Drosophila melanogaster: one gene and its partner. The protein of the gene in region 2 interacts with the protein of the main gene of each other region in a pairwise test. Each region holds a gene or a part of one and is shown on either strand. Other genes may lie near its edges.

Region 1 (9,570 bases), on a different chromosome or scaffold from region 2:
GAGGATATGTGGGTATGTTTATTGTGGCCGCCGGCGAAACGGACGCCGCATTGTTTTCCGTCTTGAGCGGAGCATTCCACTTGCTGTTGAAGTCGTAGTACGTGTTCTGTTGCTGCTGTTGCTGATTGTGCTGCTGTTGTTGTTGCTGTTGCTGCTGCAACTGATGATGCTGCGGCTCCTGGGGACTGCGCACATTGCCGTAGTCGCTGCTACTGGGGATAAGCGTTTTCTTCGGTTGGCGCTTGCGCGGAGTCTTCGCTGGTTTCGGCGGCGGCTTCACCTCCTCCTGCAAGCAAGTGTGAAAAGAATGCGGATTAGAACACTCGGGATCACCAAAGGTTATATGCAAACAGCACACTATCAATAGCTTGGACATTGGGACATTAGAAACGGTTGGTAAACGAGTACACTGGCTGGTAAAAAGAACAGTCTGCTCCCAGAACATTTTATGGGGTATTAACAACTGGGCTGCGAGCGGCATACGCGTTTGGTGCTTGGGTTTACCCCCATTAGGATTGGATCATACCATTACAACATAACGTCACAGTTTCAAAGTGGCCACATGACTTTAAACTAGAGAATATCAGTTAGCAGTTTTTGTTAGATTGAACCGAAGAATTTCAAATTAAGCGATTAATAACAGAAGGCCAAAGAAATAGCTTCCACCATAATACAAGAAATAATCGAAAGGGCATGCAAATTTTTTTTAAAATATAAAGCTACAGAACAGGGCTTTAACGAAATAACCTTATATTCGGGAAACTGGATACTTCTAGTATTTGAAAGCAAGAAAATCTAATTAGTACTTCTATAAATGTAGGTTTCAAATTCTTAATTAAAATAAATATTGGAAATTTTGCGTCCAAATGAGATTTTTTATGTAAGCTACCAATAGTCTGTTAAGGTACGTTTTGTTAATTCAAATTTATTTTTAGCCAATCAGAAAGAAAAAGCGCACAGTGGAACTAAATAAGAGATCTTCCAAACTAGTCCATTTAAGTTGGCAAAATCTTGGAAGAAATAGTGTGAAAAGCAAATAAAACGAAATAAAGGCAGAACACAAACAAATTAATAAACAAATAGAAACGGAAATAAAAAAAATTAAATACAAACCTTTGGCACTACTTGAATCTGTGACGCTAAGTTGCCCGCCGACGGCGACATGATCATGTTGGCCACCACGTGCTGGCGCCGACCGGAGGACTGGGATTGGTTTTGATTGTGCTCCTGCAGCTGCAGTTGCTCCCCATCGACCACGCTCGCGGGATAGAAGGTTTGCTTGATCTCCAGCCCGGGCGGTAGGTTGAAAACTAGATTTTCGCCACCACCACCGGCGTCCACTGAGGATGCCTCACTGGCAAAATCGAGCTGCCGATGTTCCTGTTTCACCTGCAGCTGCAGCACGTTCTTAATGTCCTCCTGCCCCGCTCCATTGTCCTCCAGCTTCGTCCAGCAGAGGTTCTGCTGCTGCTGCTGTTGCTGCAGGGTGCTTTGTATCACAGATGAGTAGGCCACCGTGGTGGGTGTGGCAGCAGCAGACGATCCAGCGCCCGCTTCTTGCCGCCTTTGCACAGGGGATGCCGTCTTGTAGACGATCACCTGGGCCTGCGGTGTGCTGACCACGTCCACCGCATGTAAATTCGTGATGGGCGATCCATCTGCGGAGCTTAGCGCCGGACTGGCATATTGCACCGGATAGGATCCCGCCGGAACTGGCACTGCCAGCGGCACCGGACTGGCATCCTGTTGGTCTACTATCGTTGCCCGATACGGCTGGCCATCCTTCCGCGTCACCTTGACCTTCCGGCCATCAATGGTGTAATAGGTGTCCGGTTCTGTGTCTGCCTCGGCGATCTCCTGTTGCAGTTGCTGGTGGAGCTGCTGCTGTTGCTGCTGCGCCGCTGTCTGTTGTTGCTGCTGCTGCTGTTGCAGTTGGATCAGGTAAATCGAGTCGTTGTAGGCTTTTAATTGCTTTTCCTGCTTAATCTGCTACAGCGCACCGTACATAGATTGAATCGGAATCGGAAAGTGTTTGGTTTGGGATTGATTCGACATAGAGAGGCTAGACTTAGTCTATGCTTTGATGGGTTTATTGGAAGGGATGTTATGTTAGTATGCGATAAATGCGATAGAGCCTGCGGGGTTTTAATAAGTGTGTGTGCTTCCCCAGAAGCTGGCGTAAACCATAATAGAAGAGTGATCTGAAAGCCGAACGTAAAACAAACGAATTCTACTCACCACTTTGTCGGCCACCAGGTTTAGCTGTTGCTGTTGCGCCTGCTGCTGTTGCTGTTGGGCCTGTTGTTGCTGCTGTTGTGCCTGCTGCTGTTGCTGCTGTGCCTGCTGCTGTTGCATGGCCAGGAAGGTGTTCGATATCATGTTCGGCGTGTTCCAGGTCAGCGACGTCGACGTCAGGGCCACCGTTGTGGGCGATGGTGAGGCTCCACTCGACGAGGAGTTCTCCCCGTAATAGTTCGAGGCAACATTGTTGACTACAGCAGCCGCTGCCGCCGACACGGCCGCCTGGTTCTGGAACGAACTGAGCTGCTTGTCCAGCGAACTGGGCAGCTGCAGCTGGCGGTGCGGCGTGCTCACCGCTGACGAGGCATAGTGGGCGGGCTTAGGCTGGACACTGGCCGCCGCCGCATGGTGGTAGATCTGCTGGAATACTGGGTTGTAGCTGCCAATCGGTGACGGAGGCACAAAGCTGCCACCACTGGCGGCCGCCGCATTAAAGCTGGCGATGCTTGCTGCCGTAATGGTGGCCAGGTGTGGATGCTGGAAGTCCTCTGCTGTTCCGCCGGAGCTTCCGGCACTGGCGGGCACGATGCGGTTGTAGGCGTATGACCAGGGACTGGAATTGGGATCCATGTTTGGCTTGGGCTCTTCTACTGCTGATGGCTGGTAACTGAAACAAATAGCAAAACTTTAGTGGTTTTTGAATATAATTAGCGGCTTATATGTAAAGGATTAACTAATTGGAGTTTATTATTGCTCGGATACATTTCCAATGGTCATGTGTTAAGTCTAAAAATCCCGCCCATATTTATCAATTTAGCGGTAGCTTAGATTATAACATATTTATATTGTTATCACAAGTTGCTTGCCATGGCATTCATAATATAGAGGGGAAAAAGGCGCGAATTCAATTAATGTTATTTATGGATCAATAATAATTACTATAAAATTATTGATATTTATATGTGGTCAAACATATTTTGTTTATCTTTTATTGTAAATCAATAAACACATAGTAGAAGTACACTTTAGAATGAAACACTCCAGTTTTGGGGTGTTTGTTCCCCAACTTTTCTGCACTGAAGGGATCCCCCTATTTTTTTCGTATCTTCATTTTTTTTGTATCCCTTTTGGCCACGATGCGCTTGGTTCCCCCTTCAAAAAAATTGGCGTCTGTATTTTTTGCCTTGGCGCTCGGCGGCAAGGAGACCGCATTTTTGAAGTTTCAGCGTCAATGGGTTAATGTGGGTGCTCACTTATGACATTACAATGACGGGGCCATCACATTGGCTGGGATTTATGCTGTTTTTGGCAATGTTTTTCTGCCTGGGAATAGGATTTTTTCCCGTATTTTCCGCTTGTACATATATGTATCCATGCACACAATCACACACACACACACACATACTCACACACACGGGCGTACATGCGTGCGTGTTGGAAGATAGTCACTAACTTTTAGTCGTTATAGAATCGGAACTGTCGGTCTGCTCGGGCCCAGCATTATCTTCACATCGGATCGGCCAGCACAACAACGCTTCAATATGCACGAGCGGATTTTATGTTTAACTAACAGCGAACGTTCTTTTTTTTAGATTCGGTGCATAACTTTTTTGTGGATGAAACAATCTCCAAAATGGCCGCTCTGCTGCCAGTGAAAAACGAACCACTGGCTCAGGTGAATGATGCCACGGTGAACTTGTTCATCGGTTCACTAGTTCGCGCGCCGAGTGTTTATTGTTTGTTTTGCCGTCGTCCTCGCATTTCGTCTTTGTTAATTTCCTCAAAAAGTATACTGCGTCTTGTGTTCTTCGTGGCATAGGTTAGTCAAAAACATAATTAAGTCATGTTGTGTGAACAATTCACCGTGAAATTTGACCAGCAATTATATTCCCATGTGCTATGCAATAGCAACAAGTGTTGTATAATACGCTTTTTATCGGGTCTACAGTCATTACTAGTTAACTTTGTTGTGTATTTACATTTTACGAGCATTTATTAAGGCACATTTGATAAGATATAAACAAATTAATCGTAACTCCTCTGAAGGTTGTGTTTACTGAACTCGCGCGTTTCCTAACACTGATCAATTGGAACTAGTTGATTTCAAAAACCATGAGAACTTTACAAAATCTGAAAACAAAAAAAAAAATAAAATAATTCCAAACTTAAATATTATATTAAATCTAGGTTTTATTAACTATATGTACGGTTCTAAATTATATATGAACGAATCAAGCCACCACCATTACACATTTTGCAACACTAATTGACCAGAAACCCAGTGGAAAATTGACGCTGCTGATATAATTTAAAAGTTTAGTTAAGGAAAAATTAAATGTTCTTACTTTGGTTTTTTCAACATACATTATCATAAACTTGTAGCTTAATAATACAAAATGTAGCTAAATCTTTAACTCGTTATCCGTGATGTTAAGGAATGTTGAATTCGGCTTTGACAAGTAAAATAGTTAACAATGGTTTCTGTTCCTTAAATATTACTAATTTGTATACATTTAAAAGATTTGGCATAATAACTGGTGTAAAAAAATATTTATTTTTTAATATAAAAATCATAACATTAAATTTAAAACCATCGCGTTGCGATATATGTTGCATTATCCAGCACTGTTCGGCTGGAACCAGTTCGATAGCCCGCTGTTTTATGGTTGGTTCACGTACTAATGACAGTCATTTTACGTATTCATTGCTAAAAGAAAACTGAAAAAATACATTTGACCAAGTTTCCGGTTAGTCATCCGCCCACACCGATCTTCAATTAGTCCTAACCGAATCAAAGGAGAGGTGCGTAGTGCCCAATTGTCAATGAATCGGGGGGAATCCGCCAGCAGCTGGCTGCTCCTCTGCGTACGTGTAAATCTGGGTGAGACGCCCACTAAATAGCAATCACAACATTTCCAGAGAGCACATAGCCATGGACTTCGGAGACGATTTCGCTGCCAAGGAGGACGTGGATCCGGCGGCCGAGTTCCTGGCGCGCGAACAGTCAGCTCTCGGGGACTTGGAGGCGGAGATTACGGGTGGATCTGCATCAGCTCCTCCGGCTGCATCCACAGACGAGGGCTTGGGTGAGCTTCTGGGAGGCACCGCCTCCGAAGGCGATCTGCTCTCTGCTGGCGGCACGGGTGGCCTCGAATCCTCCACTGGCAGTTTTGAGGTCATTGGTGGCGAGTCCAATGAACCCGTGGGCATATCCGGTCCGCCGCCGTCGCGGGAAGAGCCCGAAAAGATACGCAAATGGCGCGAAGAGCAAAAGCAACGACTGGAGGAGAAGGACATCGAGGAGGAGCGAAAAAAGGAGGAACTCCGACAGCAGTCCAAGAAGGAGCTGGACGACTGGTTGCGCCAGATTGGCGAGTCCATATCGAAGACCAAACTGGCGTCGCGGAATGCCGAGAAACAAGCCGCCACCCTGGAGAATGGCACCATCGAGCCGGGCACCGAATGGGAGCGCATAGCCAAGCTCTGCGACTTCAATCCCAAGGTGAACAAGGCGGGAAAGGACGTCTCCCGCATGCGATCCATCTACCTGCACCTCAAGCAGAATCCCATCCAGGTGCAGAAGAGCACCTAGGTAGTTTTAATTACGCACTCGCCTAACCACATTGAGTTGAATATGAAAATTATTATTGAAAGTATTCGCTGTATATTCCAATTTATGATACATAAAATATTATTATTGCTGCTATAACATAGCCGCGATCATCGTTTTGTCTAATGAATGCAATAAAGAATGTGCACACAGTTGTCATGCTTTCCTTGACTATCATATACCCCATCACACAAAATAAGAAAAACGACATGAAAAAGTTAGGAAAAAGAACAAATAAAAAATAAAACCAAGGATATGACAACTAAAGTGTTTTTTCGTTCATTTTGTTAATCAAGCAGGGTTGCACATCAAGGGGCTTTAATTACTTCCAGTTTTGTTGTAAATAATATTTATTGCTCTATAAAACGCATTATACAAACCATTTATTATTCTTATCTCTAGTTAGTTATACACATACAACTTGTTTTCATCATATATGTGTGTTGGAAATATCAATGGGTTGGAAATGGAATATGGTTGTGTATGGATTTGCATTCATTAAATGATTATTAAAATAAAGACATACAGACAACTGAGGCAAGTATTTGTCATTGCAGAGCTGGTTTAATGTATGCATTATATGAATGAAATACGCATAAAGAAACCAATTACGATAATGAAAAGTGGATATCAGAAATCATAATTTAATTATTTCCATCGCTTAATAAGGTTTTCTACTTGTTTTGCAGAAATGGCTGAAGTTTCCGCTCAAGATTTGATATCCCAGTTGTCGAAGTCACCCGAAAGCCACAAGAGAAAGGAATATCTGCATTGGGATGACTACTTTATGGCCACCTCACTGCTCTCCGCCAAACGCAGCAAAGATCCCGTCACCCAAGTGGGCGCCTGCATCGTGGATTCCCAGAATCGGATAGTGGCCATTGGATACAATGGGTTCCCTCGCAACTGCAGCGATGACGTGTTTCCGTGGTCAAAAGCTAAGAAAGGCTCGCAGGAATTTGATCCCCTGGAAGACAAGAAGATGTACGTGGTCCACGCGGAGGCCAATGCAATCCTGAACAGCAACGGCATGAGTTTGTCTGGAACTCGACTGTATACCACACTATTTCCGTGCAACGAATGTGCCAAACTCATTATACAGGTAAAACTAATATTAACGAAGGAAGCCGAATATAGGATTTCTGTTCTATTATTTGAAATGCAACTTTAATATTTTCATATGGCAGCTGTATAATTTAGTCGTCCTATTTTGATAAAATGAAAAACGAATTAATATATGGAAAAACAACGGTTGTGTACAAAATTACACCAATATATGATCACAAACATGGAAGCACAATCTTTCCAATAGTTTCACGGCTTCAAAAAGGTTTTAAGTTTTTCGTTAAAACGAAAGGACGACCAAACGGACGGCAGCTTTATGAACTCATCTTCTAAAATTGATCAAGAATATATAGTACATACATATCATAACATATAAATTAACCTATTTGTATTCCAGGTGGGCATATCTCAGGTGCTATATTTGTCCGACAAATATGCCGATAAGCCCACATATCGTGCATCCAAGCGGATGCTGGATGCAGTGGGCGTGGAATATAAGCGACACATCCCCCAGAAAAAAACGATCACCATTGATTTTGACACCTTCCCGGAAGAAGATCCGAATGCATCCCTGGGACTAAACGAACTCCATTTGTAATGTACTAATACAATCTTAGCTATCTTGACAACTTTTAATGTGTTTAAAGTAAATTTGACGTGATCGGACTAAATATGTAGACAAATGATAAATAAATTTAATAGCATGCTAATTAAGTTATACTTAGTTTGGCAGTACTAATATAAATAAAAAAATACAGTTTAACTAAAAAGCAAAACGTAAAACGATGTTCTTTTCTATCTGTGAGTCAGAAAAATGCTTCGGAAAATGAGTTCCCTGTAATCGATATTAAAATCAAAATCCAGTAAATCATTGAATCTGACCACTTCCTTTGACGTTTGTTCAAATATGTTCGTAAAAGTATAGTCAAAATCAAAAGCAGAACTTATCTAGATCCCAAAACGTACATATTCTAACCTAATAGGGAATAAAAAACAATAGTTTTTCGTTGAGTATTGCTCCTTTTTTGCAGAGCATAAACGATTAGACGCTTCATTTTATCCGCACGCAAAGATACTTAAAATGTTTTTTAATTAGTACCCATTTGGGAAGAGTGTTCACTTGCACTAATTGACTTGGCAAACAGAAGACTGTCAGGTGAGACTCTTAGCATGCACAGGTGTCCACCGGAGACCAAAAGCGCCATGGAAGTGCTCTACTCAGGTAAAAGTACATGGTATTTTCATATTGAATCTTGGAATTAAATCCCATAATTCATTCCTAAAAAGTTAAATTAATAATTATACTGATCGAAAATTAAAAACAGGGTATATGTGTAATGGAAACTACTCTGTGCCACTTTATAGCTCCGTAATTAAAGGACCTTGAAAATTCTATTGCTGGCCCACACATTAAATTAATTAAGTTAGCCACTTTTGAACTTTGATGTTGTGTTGGCTAAAAATTCGCATGCAGCCATTTTAAATACCGGGCTGAGCAAAATGTTTATGGGATGTTTTTCAATGGCATGCCAGCACGAAGGAGCTCCCACCTGACCAACCAGCCAACCAGGCCATTCAGGTGAGAGTGGCGTGCGGCCAACCGGCCAACCGGCCATTAGCACTGGAATATGCAAAACAGTGCGCGAAACAGGACGAGGATGCCAATAAGAAGAACAGCGAGGATACTCGACCTATCGGAAATCGCCGAGTGACCCTTACTAGCCTCCATGCACTATTGTCTGCAGGCTGCATTGAAACGTGTCCGGCGGATTTCAATATCGGGCCACAAGGTAAGAACCGGTTATGCAGAGAAGATGGGTCAAGCTGGCTGGTAAAGTAAAGTGTTTTATTGTTGAGGTGGAAAACGAAGAATTAGAGTTTTCGTCTATTTGACTTACATTATTCTTTCCTACACCTAAACTAACTCAACAATTCCACTAGCTAAAATCTTTCCGGCTTAAAGAGTTCTGAAGAAGTGGAAGTCTAAGGAACAACACGGACGACCATCTAATCGTGTATCTTAGGCATGTAGAATCAGGGGATTAGTATCTGAAAGGCTGTGTATCTTCATCTGGCCCGGCTTCTTGTTTGTATTTGTATGCATAGAATGCAGACAAAGTTTACCAATTGCAACGGAAACTTGTGCCGCACGCACATCTGCTAACTGAATTTGAAGTGGGACCGAGCATTCCGTAATCACTAATAGCAGGTTAGCCGCTCTGGGCCCTAATTGCCATTAAAGTTAAAGCTACGACCAACGAAAACCCCAAAATCGTGAAACCACCGTGAAGGAGCAAGGGGACAGCACTCATTTTGGGGCTTTCGTGAGTTTCAGCTACAAAATCCCCTCGAGGCCGGAGCCCCAAAATCACACAGAATGGCCAACGGAAGGCTTGGCGGCACTTGGACTATTAAAACACATACGAGTATACGACACCCCAAAGGCCATGGAACCGAGCAAATAATCAATATAACTACAAGAACGGAACCATAACAGAGCTCTGGGTTTTGTGTAACGATAGTGGAACATATCAACAGAATATCAAGTCACACGGCGCACTTGTTGGTTATAACCATCGATCCTCTTCTTTTCTTTTTGCAAACAGGTGCCAGAAATGCTCGGCTGAATATTGCAAAATTCATTAAATAGATAA
Region 2 (7,189 bases):
ATTAAATTTGCAACAATTTCATTACCATTACTTTCGTTTTTTACACTTCATCAAGAGTCAGTCGTTGGTCCAATAAGCTCCTCTGCAGTTGTACATTCGACACATGTCATCTAATCCTTTTACGCCCATAATATCCTCACAGGAAAATGTACTCTGTTTGTTAATTGATTTGCTGGAGCTCGTTTTGACCCACTGGCCGATGGGTTGAGGGGGAGCCGGTGGGGCGTGGCGCGGAGATGCCATTCTACGCACTTGTGTGCGTGGGCCGTTGCACGTAGGCCCATCGGTGAAACTGTGAATGTGTGTCAGTGGCCCGTCGCTGATTGGTCCGCTGCCCCCTAAGCGTCACTCCGAAGACGAGCGGTTCCGAAGCGCTCTGGCCAATCGGCGAGCGGCCAAGAAGCTCCAAACGTGAGGCGCGGAGAGCGCCGATTCGAGTGAAAGAGCAGAGCGCAACAGGTTCCCGCTCTCCACAGAGAACGAGTGAGAGAGGGAGAGGGCGAGAGACAGAGAGGTACAGTGTGCGGCCAGCGACGAGAAGAGGAAGATGAAGAACAGGTTGTCGAGCGGAACATTGTGTGGACTTGGATTTTCATTCATAACCTCAGCTCGCTGCAGCAGAGAAAATGCTGCTGCGCCTGTTGCTGCTGCTGCTGCTGCTGCGGCGGCGGCCTCTGCCGCTGATTCAATTCGCTGCGGCGGCAGCTTTTACAGCTATCGGTTTTCGAGGCGACTGACGCCATTGCCACGCGAACGGCTCTGCAGTCCCAGCCCAATCCCTAGCTGAATCCGAATCCCCGAGTCCCCATCCCACGCACCACCATCTTTGATCGCTCCTGACCATCCGATCCGATTACCCCCAAAGAATGGGGAAGCCAGTCAAGTGGCAACGGTAAAATTGGTCCTTTGGTGCCCCAACGAAGGCAACACAATACCCCAAACGATATATGTACGTAGGCATGCTTTAAAAAAAAAATAAATAATGGTCTCCTTGGCTGTTAGTTTTGATAGAACCCTTTTTAAGAAAGTAGCCCTCTACTTTCCCTCTGCAGACCTTTTTTGTAGCCCTATCAAGCTTTTCGATTCTTTTATGCAGGAAGCAGAACTACCATGCAGAAACTACAGATAGGAATGATCATAAAACATTTCCGATAAGCCGCCACTGGGGAGATATCACACTTTTTTACCGTGTACAAACTGCTTTGTCACATGCAGAGATCACACGACGATTGCCCGACATTTTGCCTAATGGTCCATGAGTCACAGCCAGACGGCTGTACGGTACTTGGGGTTTTCTTAACAGCCGCGCTGTGGAAAACCTCGAACCGATATATATGTATGTACATACATCTATCTATGTATCTATCTATCTATCGGAACGTGCCCCGGGCACGAGCTATAAACGACAATGGGGTGGGTCAGGGCAGGTGACGAGTCGGGCCAAAAACGGAATCTCGCGCATACTTCCCCAGTATTTCCGATTTGGGGGAGTGGTAATTGGGTTGCCAACTTCAAGCATTGGAGGTCATAAACCCGCGAGTCCCCAAAAAAAAAACAGTGAAAAATCAAAAAACCCTAAGTATTAAGCGATTTACTTAGCTAGCTATGCAATTGAGAATTATACTTTGAACTCTACCTTTGATTTGTTCCATTTCCACTTGTTTCAATTCATGGAAACATCTTATGACCACCCATGCTTTAATCGATGTTGTAGACCTTCGAAAGGTTGGCAGAATTCCCACCGTTGACTAAGCCCCCAATTCGTTGTAACTTAATTTCATCTGAATGATGAAATTGGTCAACCAGAAAAGAAAAGCACTTCACGTATGCGCCTATCGGTATAATTTATTAATAGTCATTGTAATATTGTAAATATATATAAAAAAAATACACTTAAGTAATAGTTTTCATAAGTTATCGAGCCTGCGATGCGGTGAATGTGTTCAGTGAGTATGGTGGTACGCGTATGTATATAAATAGGATGCAAAGGCGATATAAATACGTATGAGGGCAATGGGGATTTAATAAGTTATAATAAATAATAGGGTCTAAGGCAGATGAGGGTGTCTAGTAGACGAATACGGATCTGGATACTCGTGGGCATAGCCTATTAGCTTGAGATTGCAGTGGGTCATCGGAGGCGATTATTTTTGGTATGGCTTTTACTGCTCCTCTGGAGCGTCCAACTCTGTCCAGCGGATTACTGATACAGCTTGATCAGCTGCTCGTACTTGTGCTCGATGATGGTCAGCACCTTGATGGTCTCCACGGCGGCGCCAAACATCGGCCATATGTGATCGGCATTGTACTCGGCGTTCCTCGGATTGCAGGCATCGTTGAGACCGGCGACCTTGAGAGCCTCGTGCATGTTGTGATGGAAGAAATGCACGAAGTTATTGAAGTAGCAGTTCCAGGACTGGTGATCGAACACAATGATCTCGTATAGATGCTCCAGGACCAGCAGGGACTCGATAATGGCCGGCATCTCCTCCTGCAGCGTTGTCACCTTGCCACTGTACACAAAGTCACCCAGCTGGTTCTGGAACTTAACTTCCTTGACCTCCGACTGGAGCGGATGCTTCAATGCCAGGGAATGCAGAGAGTAGGAGTGAAGATCTTGGGGCAGGGTGTGGTTTTGATTCCTCAGCTGTTTCGCAATGAAAAAAAATGGGAAATGGGAAACTTAGTGCCTCTGCTGCCGCAAGTCCATCGTTCTAGCTAACTTACCCATTCTTTGGTCAGACAGAGGACCGCCTCCCGCGTATTCTTGGCCACCTCGAGCGCCACTTGCAGGTGTTCGATATTGGGAGTCATTTTAAGGTCCGTGCACTGCTCCCTGCCTTCAGTCTGATTGGTTAACAGGGGCACGATCTTGGTGCTTATTGACCTGGTGTGCTGGTGGTGATGGTGTAGTCGTGCGTGATTGCGGTGCGGCAGAATCAGGCTCAATCCTCGAGCGCGACGCGGTGCGGCAATTGTCCCCGTTGGCCAACTAGTGGCGACTGTGAGTAGCAGCAGGATGCCCAGGAGCCAGCACTTGGAGGTAGCTGCAATGCAAGAAGATGGAAGGTCAGTAAATAGGATTCATACAAAGATGTTCAAAAGATCTCCCTAATCCTGATGGATGCCCAGGCTTGGCCAATAAGATAATGATGATTGAAAACTTCAATGCCCAAGATCCCTATCATTTGATGAGCACTTTCCTGTTTGCCCAGCGATGACACAGTTATAGATACAAAGATACAGATAGAGCGACATGATTCAGAGGCGCTAGATCTTAATGCACACTTACAAATGCGACCGATGATGTTGGATTGCTGCTGGCAGGACGCTTTTGTCGCCGCCGGAGCACTCTGCTCCTGCTCCTGCTGCTGCTGCTGCTGCTGTAGTCGCTCCAAGAATTGGAGCTCGAAGGATTCACTGGCACTGCTGTTGGCGGTCATATTTTGATTTGATTTGTGATGTTAGGCACACACGGTTCGGAGAGTATGTCTTATTGGTTTTCGATATTTGGCCAAGATTCAGATTGAAAGCGCGCTAAAGAGCTGGATAGCTGGATAGCTGGAGAGCTGGGGCTGGCGTGCGGGCTCTGCGAGATCTTACGGTTAATGAGGAGTTGGGGCACACGCCGGCGATTTAAATACAAACCGGACCGCCATCCGGCGATATCAGTAGCCGAAGCCGCACGAGCGGCGCAGCGCGTGGCCGAGCTTACTTTTTTTACGCACACACACACATACACGCGCGCGGGCGGCGGGTACTCACACTTGTTGTGCTCGTTGTAGCGACAAGTGAACAACAACAACAGCAAGCAGCAAGAGCAGCAATAGCAGCAACCACAGCAGCAGCAACGGCAGCATCAGCGGCCGATGGTCGATGACGATAATGAATCAAAAAAACAACGGCCCGCAAAGGGAGTTCGAATTTGGGTTTTCTCAATTATCGGAGGTGGGGGTGAGTGGGTGAGTGGGTGGGTTGGCTTGGCTTGGCTTGGATGGGCTTCCTGACTCAGCCGGGGATTAGCTACTCCCTGGTCAGTAGTTCATGCCGCTGTTGCAGCGCTGCACATGACGTTTTGTTTTCTTCCTGTCTTGCGGCAAATGAGTTGCCAACCGTTGTAATTTATGCACACACGCTTCATGGCCCAAAACGGATGTCGCATTGCATTCTTGCACCCTACACCAAGTAATCGGGCATCTTGGTTGCCAACTGGCATTAGGCTGACCTTACAATCGCAACATTGAATCCTTATTTAAATTGCCTGCCTGGAGGACGACGACTGCAAACATTTTAGTTTAGCTCTGTCTATGAGTGGCTTTTAGTCACTGTTTAACGACACATGCCAATTGCTCTGTTTGTTAGCTGATTAATACATGTTTGATAGATTCTTGGAATTTGTTTGGTATACATATTCCAAACTCAGTGTTCAAGCTAACAGAGTAACACCCAAAGCAAAAAGCTCGAGGCAACATTTTGACAACAAACACATTTTTTATGGGGAATTTCACTGTTCTTGTACGAAATTTGATAAGCCTGATGCCTGAATACTGAGCTTTCCGGAAATTGTAATGGCTATATGTAAATTCAACATTGGTCTCAATGCCCATCAGGCTGAATTAGCCAAAGTGGAATCGCGTTTACTTTGATTAATTTGCGAATATCTCGTGTCTCTTAGCTGCTGTGGCGGCGGCGTCACTTCGGATTCTTCAGTTACTCGATTTACTGTATTTACTTTAACTAAGTGGCGATTTATGATGCGGGTGCCACTTGCCTGGCAAATGACGCGTCGTTCCGTAGGCATTTCCGATCGATCGCTTGGCACGTGCGCGTTTTGCATGCAACTGACTGGCAATAGCCACTTGGCCGCTGGCCGCTGGCCGCTGGTCGCTGGACTTGGCCAATTGATCGAGCACTGGGTATAAGAGACACCGGCAACCGGCAGACAGAGTGTCTGTCTCTTCTATGGCCAGTGCACAGTAGTGCACAGTGCATCGAGCAAGCACATAACCTAGCCCAACATGGCACTCACACTTTGACATAGCAATTACTCATAAAGACGCACGTAGTTCAACCCACTCATGGGACACAAAGCTCATGGGAGTCGTATTCCCTTGTCGAGTTTTCTGCGTAGTATTTCATCAGTTGGGCAAATTTTTCGAGCTTTGTTTTTACCCAATTGCTCTGGGCAGATCCATAATTGCCAACTTTTCCGGAATTCGAGCTGGAGGCCATGTCCAAGGGTTTTCCAATGCAGTTTGCCCGCTGTCAGTCCAGAATTGCATTTGTTCAGCGCTAGATGGGTGCCTTCTCCTTTTGATTCGATATGTATTGATTTCCTCCTCTTTATTATTATTATAATTTATTTTTTTTTTTTTTTGCGCCCATCCAGGCATTGTTGACTGTTAATTATCGCACTCGAGGAGGTGCTAACTTTGGCCACGCACTAATCTCGGCCTGAACTCGCTAAACTTGCAACGTCATCCGGTTTGAGGGAGATCCGCTATCTATCGCTCGTTCCTGTTTGCCATTCCCTTTTTAGAAATGACCATTCCATTGATGAGCTCTTCCAGAGTGACGTACGACAGTACTTAGTACTCAGCGTAGTAAAAAGCTGCAAACATCCCACACTTACAGCGACGGAAATATCGCTCAGACTTATCGCCTCAGCCAGGCATATAATATTTAAATTTAGCAAATATACCACCAAGATGCACGTGTAAGTTCATTGTGTAAGTTCTCGTTAGCCAAATGCACACGCGACAGAAGATAGTGTTTCCTTCAAAGTTACATTTTTCATAAAGTTACATTTGTTAACATTAAACAGATACAGTGTTTAATGCAACTCGGATATGAACAATATATCAATCAGTTTCTAGATCTAATTTGCCACACAGAAGACAATTTCAGATTGTATGGCATTATAACTGATTATTTTATATTATATATAAAGTACATAAACTACCGGGAAATCATATATAAATAATAGCTTAAATTTCAATTTAAATTTGCATCATCTGAGAGTCAAGAAAGGATTATTTCTGCAATCTTCCTTATACTGTTCTAATTTGGCACACTCAATGTGGTTGATGTGTGCGATATGCCAAGGTTAATCATTCGATTATTGGGAGATTACCATTCGATTTGCATTGGTTTTATTATACTCTAGAAGTAGCCGTTACTGATCTTTCTCGTTCTGTACGCATCGACTTAAATACTTAATGTTTTATCGCTTGGAATGGAATTTACTCCATTCAAATAGAATTCCCACTGTGCCAACTTCCACATAATTGGTGTATGGAAATACAGTGGTGGAAAGACCGCACCTTAGTTAAGATCGAAGTGAATCAGGGCGTTTAAAACTAAGTCCTCAATGGCACCAAATGCCAGTTGCCATCGACTACCCTTGACCGAATAAAACGGTCGGTGACGTGAATGTAGAATCTAGAATCGCCATGAGGAAATACCCCAATTCGATGGCCGTCACCTGTCATCTGGGAGTGGGCCGAACTGACCACAGACACTCTGGCCGGCTTGATATCATACATATGTCTATAGCTGGATGGGTAAATCACCGAGCGACGTTGCTCCGTATTTGCGTTTGTGTTTAGAAGCTGCCCCGACCCGGCTCTCTTTCCCGTGCCAGCACCCCAGCTCTCCGGCTTGCCGCGTCACCTCCCATTCAGGCCGGATCGCAGTGTCGACTATCTCTCGGATCACGTATCTTTGGAGACATGGGCACAGACCGGCTGAACGACCGAGTTTCCGACCAAGTTACCAACCGAGAGAGGGGCGCACACACTCACTTATTTGCCCAGCGCATTATATTATGAATGGAGCGCTGTGGGAAGCACTTGGGCAGAGTCTTACCGCCCATCAAAGGCAAAGGCAAATGCGGTACGAAAACAAGGGGCTCGGACAGGTGAGAGAAGTGCCTATTTTTGGCACTGGCCATCTTCCACAAGTCATCGAGGTGCGAGCTGTGACGCACTGGGGTTCCCTGAGCCAGGTTCCTGTTAGCTTGTTTACCACGCCATATTAAGTATACGTCATAATAAGTATACGCCGCGTTGGACCTTAAGTTTAACTGCCAACTTAACTTAGAACTCACCTCAGTTTTGTCACGCGACGTGTTTTATTTCAGTGCGGTGATTAACTGCAAAAATAAACAAATAGGGATATCATTAGTTCA

The links. Proteins that work in one complex are often made in the same cells at the same time.
Region 1: the proteins of CG6023 (region 2) and CG6951 interact in a two-hybrid assay, tested with the Drosophila melanogaster proteins (one large-scale study listed by BioGRID).

Annotation. Positions count from the first base shown.
Region 1 is NT_037436.4:20,237,625-20,247,194, forward strand, and holds CG6951 (uncharacterized protein), read left to right. Parts: upstream 1-3,642; 5' UTR 3,643-3,916; intron 3,917-3,938; exon of another isoform or gene 3,939-4,060; intron 4,061-4,220; exon of another isoform or gene 4,221-4,279; intron 4,280-4,881; exon of another isoform or gene 4,882-5,173; coding exon of another isoform or gene 5,174-5,833; exon of another isoform or gene 5,834-6,111; intron 6,112-6,540; 5' UTR 6,541-6,542; coding exon 6,543-6,953; intron 6,954-7,313; coding exon 7,314-7,514; 3' UTR 7,515-7,688; downstream 7,689-9,570. Other genes in the region: CG17233 (uncharacterized protein), read right to left, coding at 1-286, 1,114-1,989, 2,239-2,871; Clc (clathrin light chain), read left to right, coding at 5,174-5,833. UniProt on the Drosophila melanogaster protein: Supplies the nucleotide substrate for thymidylate synthetase.
Region 2 is NC_004354.4:18,312,290-18,319,478, forward strand, and holds CG6023 (uncharacterized protein), read right to left. Parts: upstream 3,613-7,189; 5' UTR 3,444-3,612; coding exon 3,293-3,443; intron 3,048-3,292; coding exon 2,728-3,047; intron 2,648-2,727; coding exon 2,201-2,647; 3' UTR 1,835-2,200; downstream 1-1,834.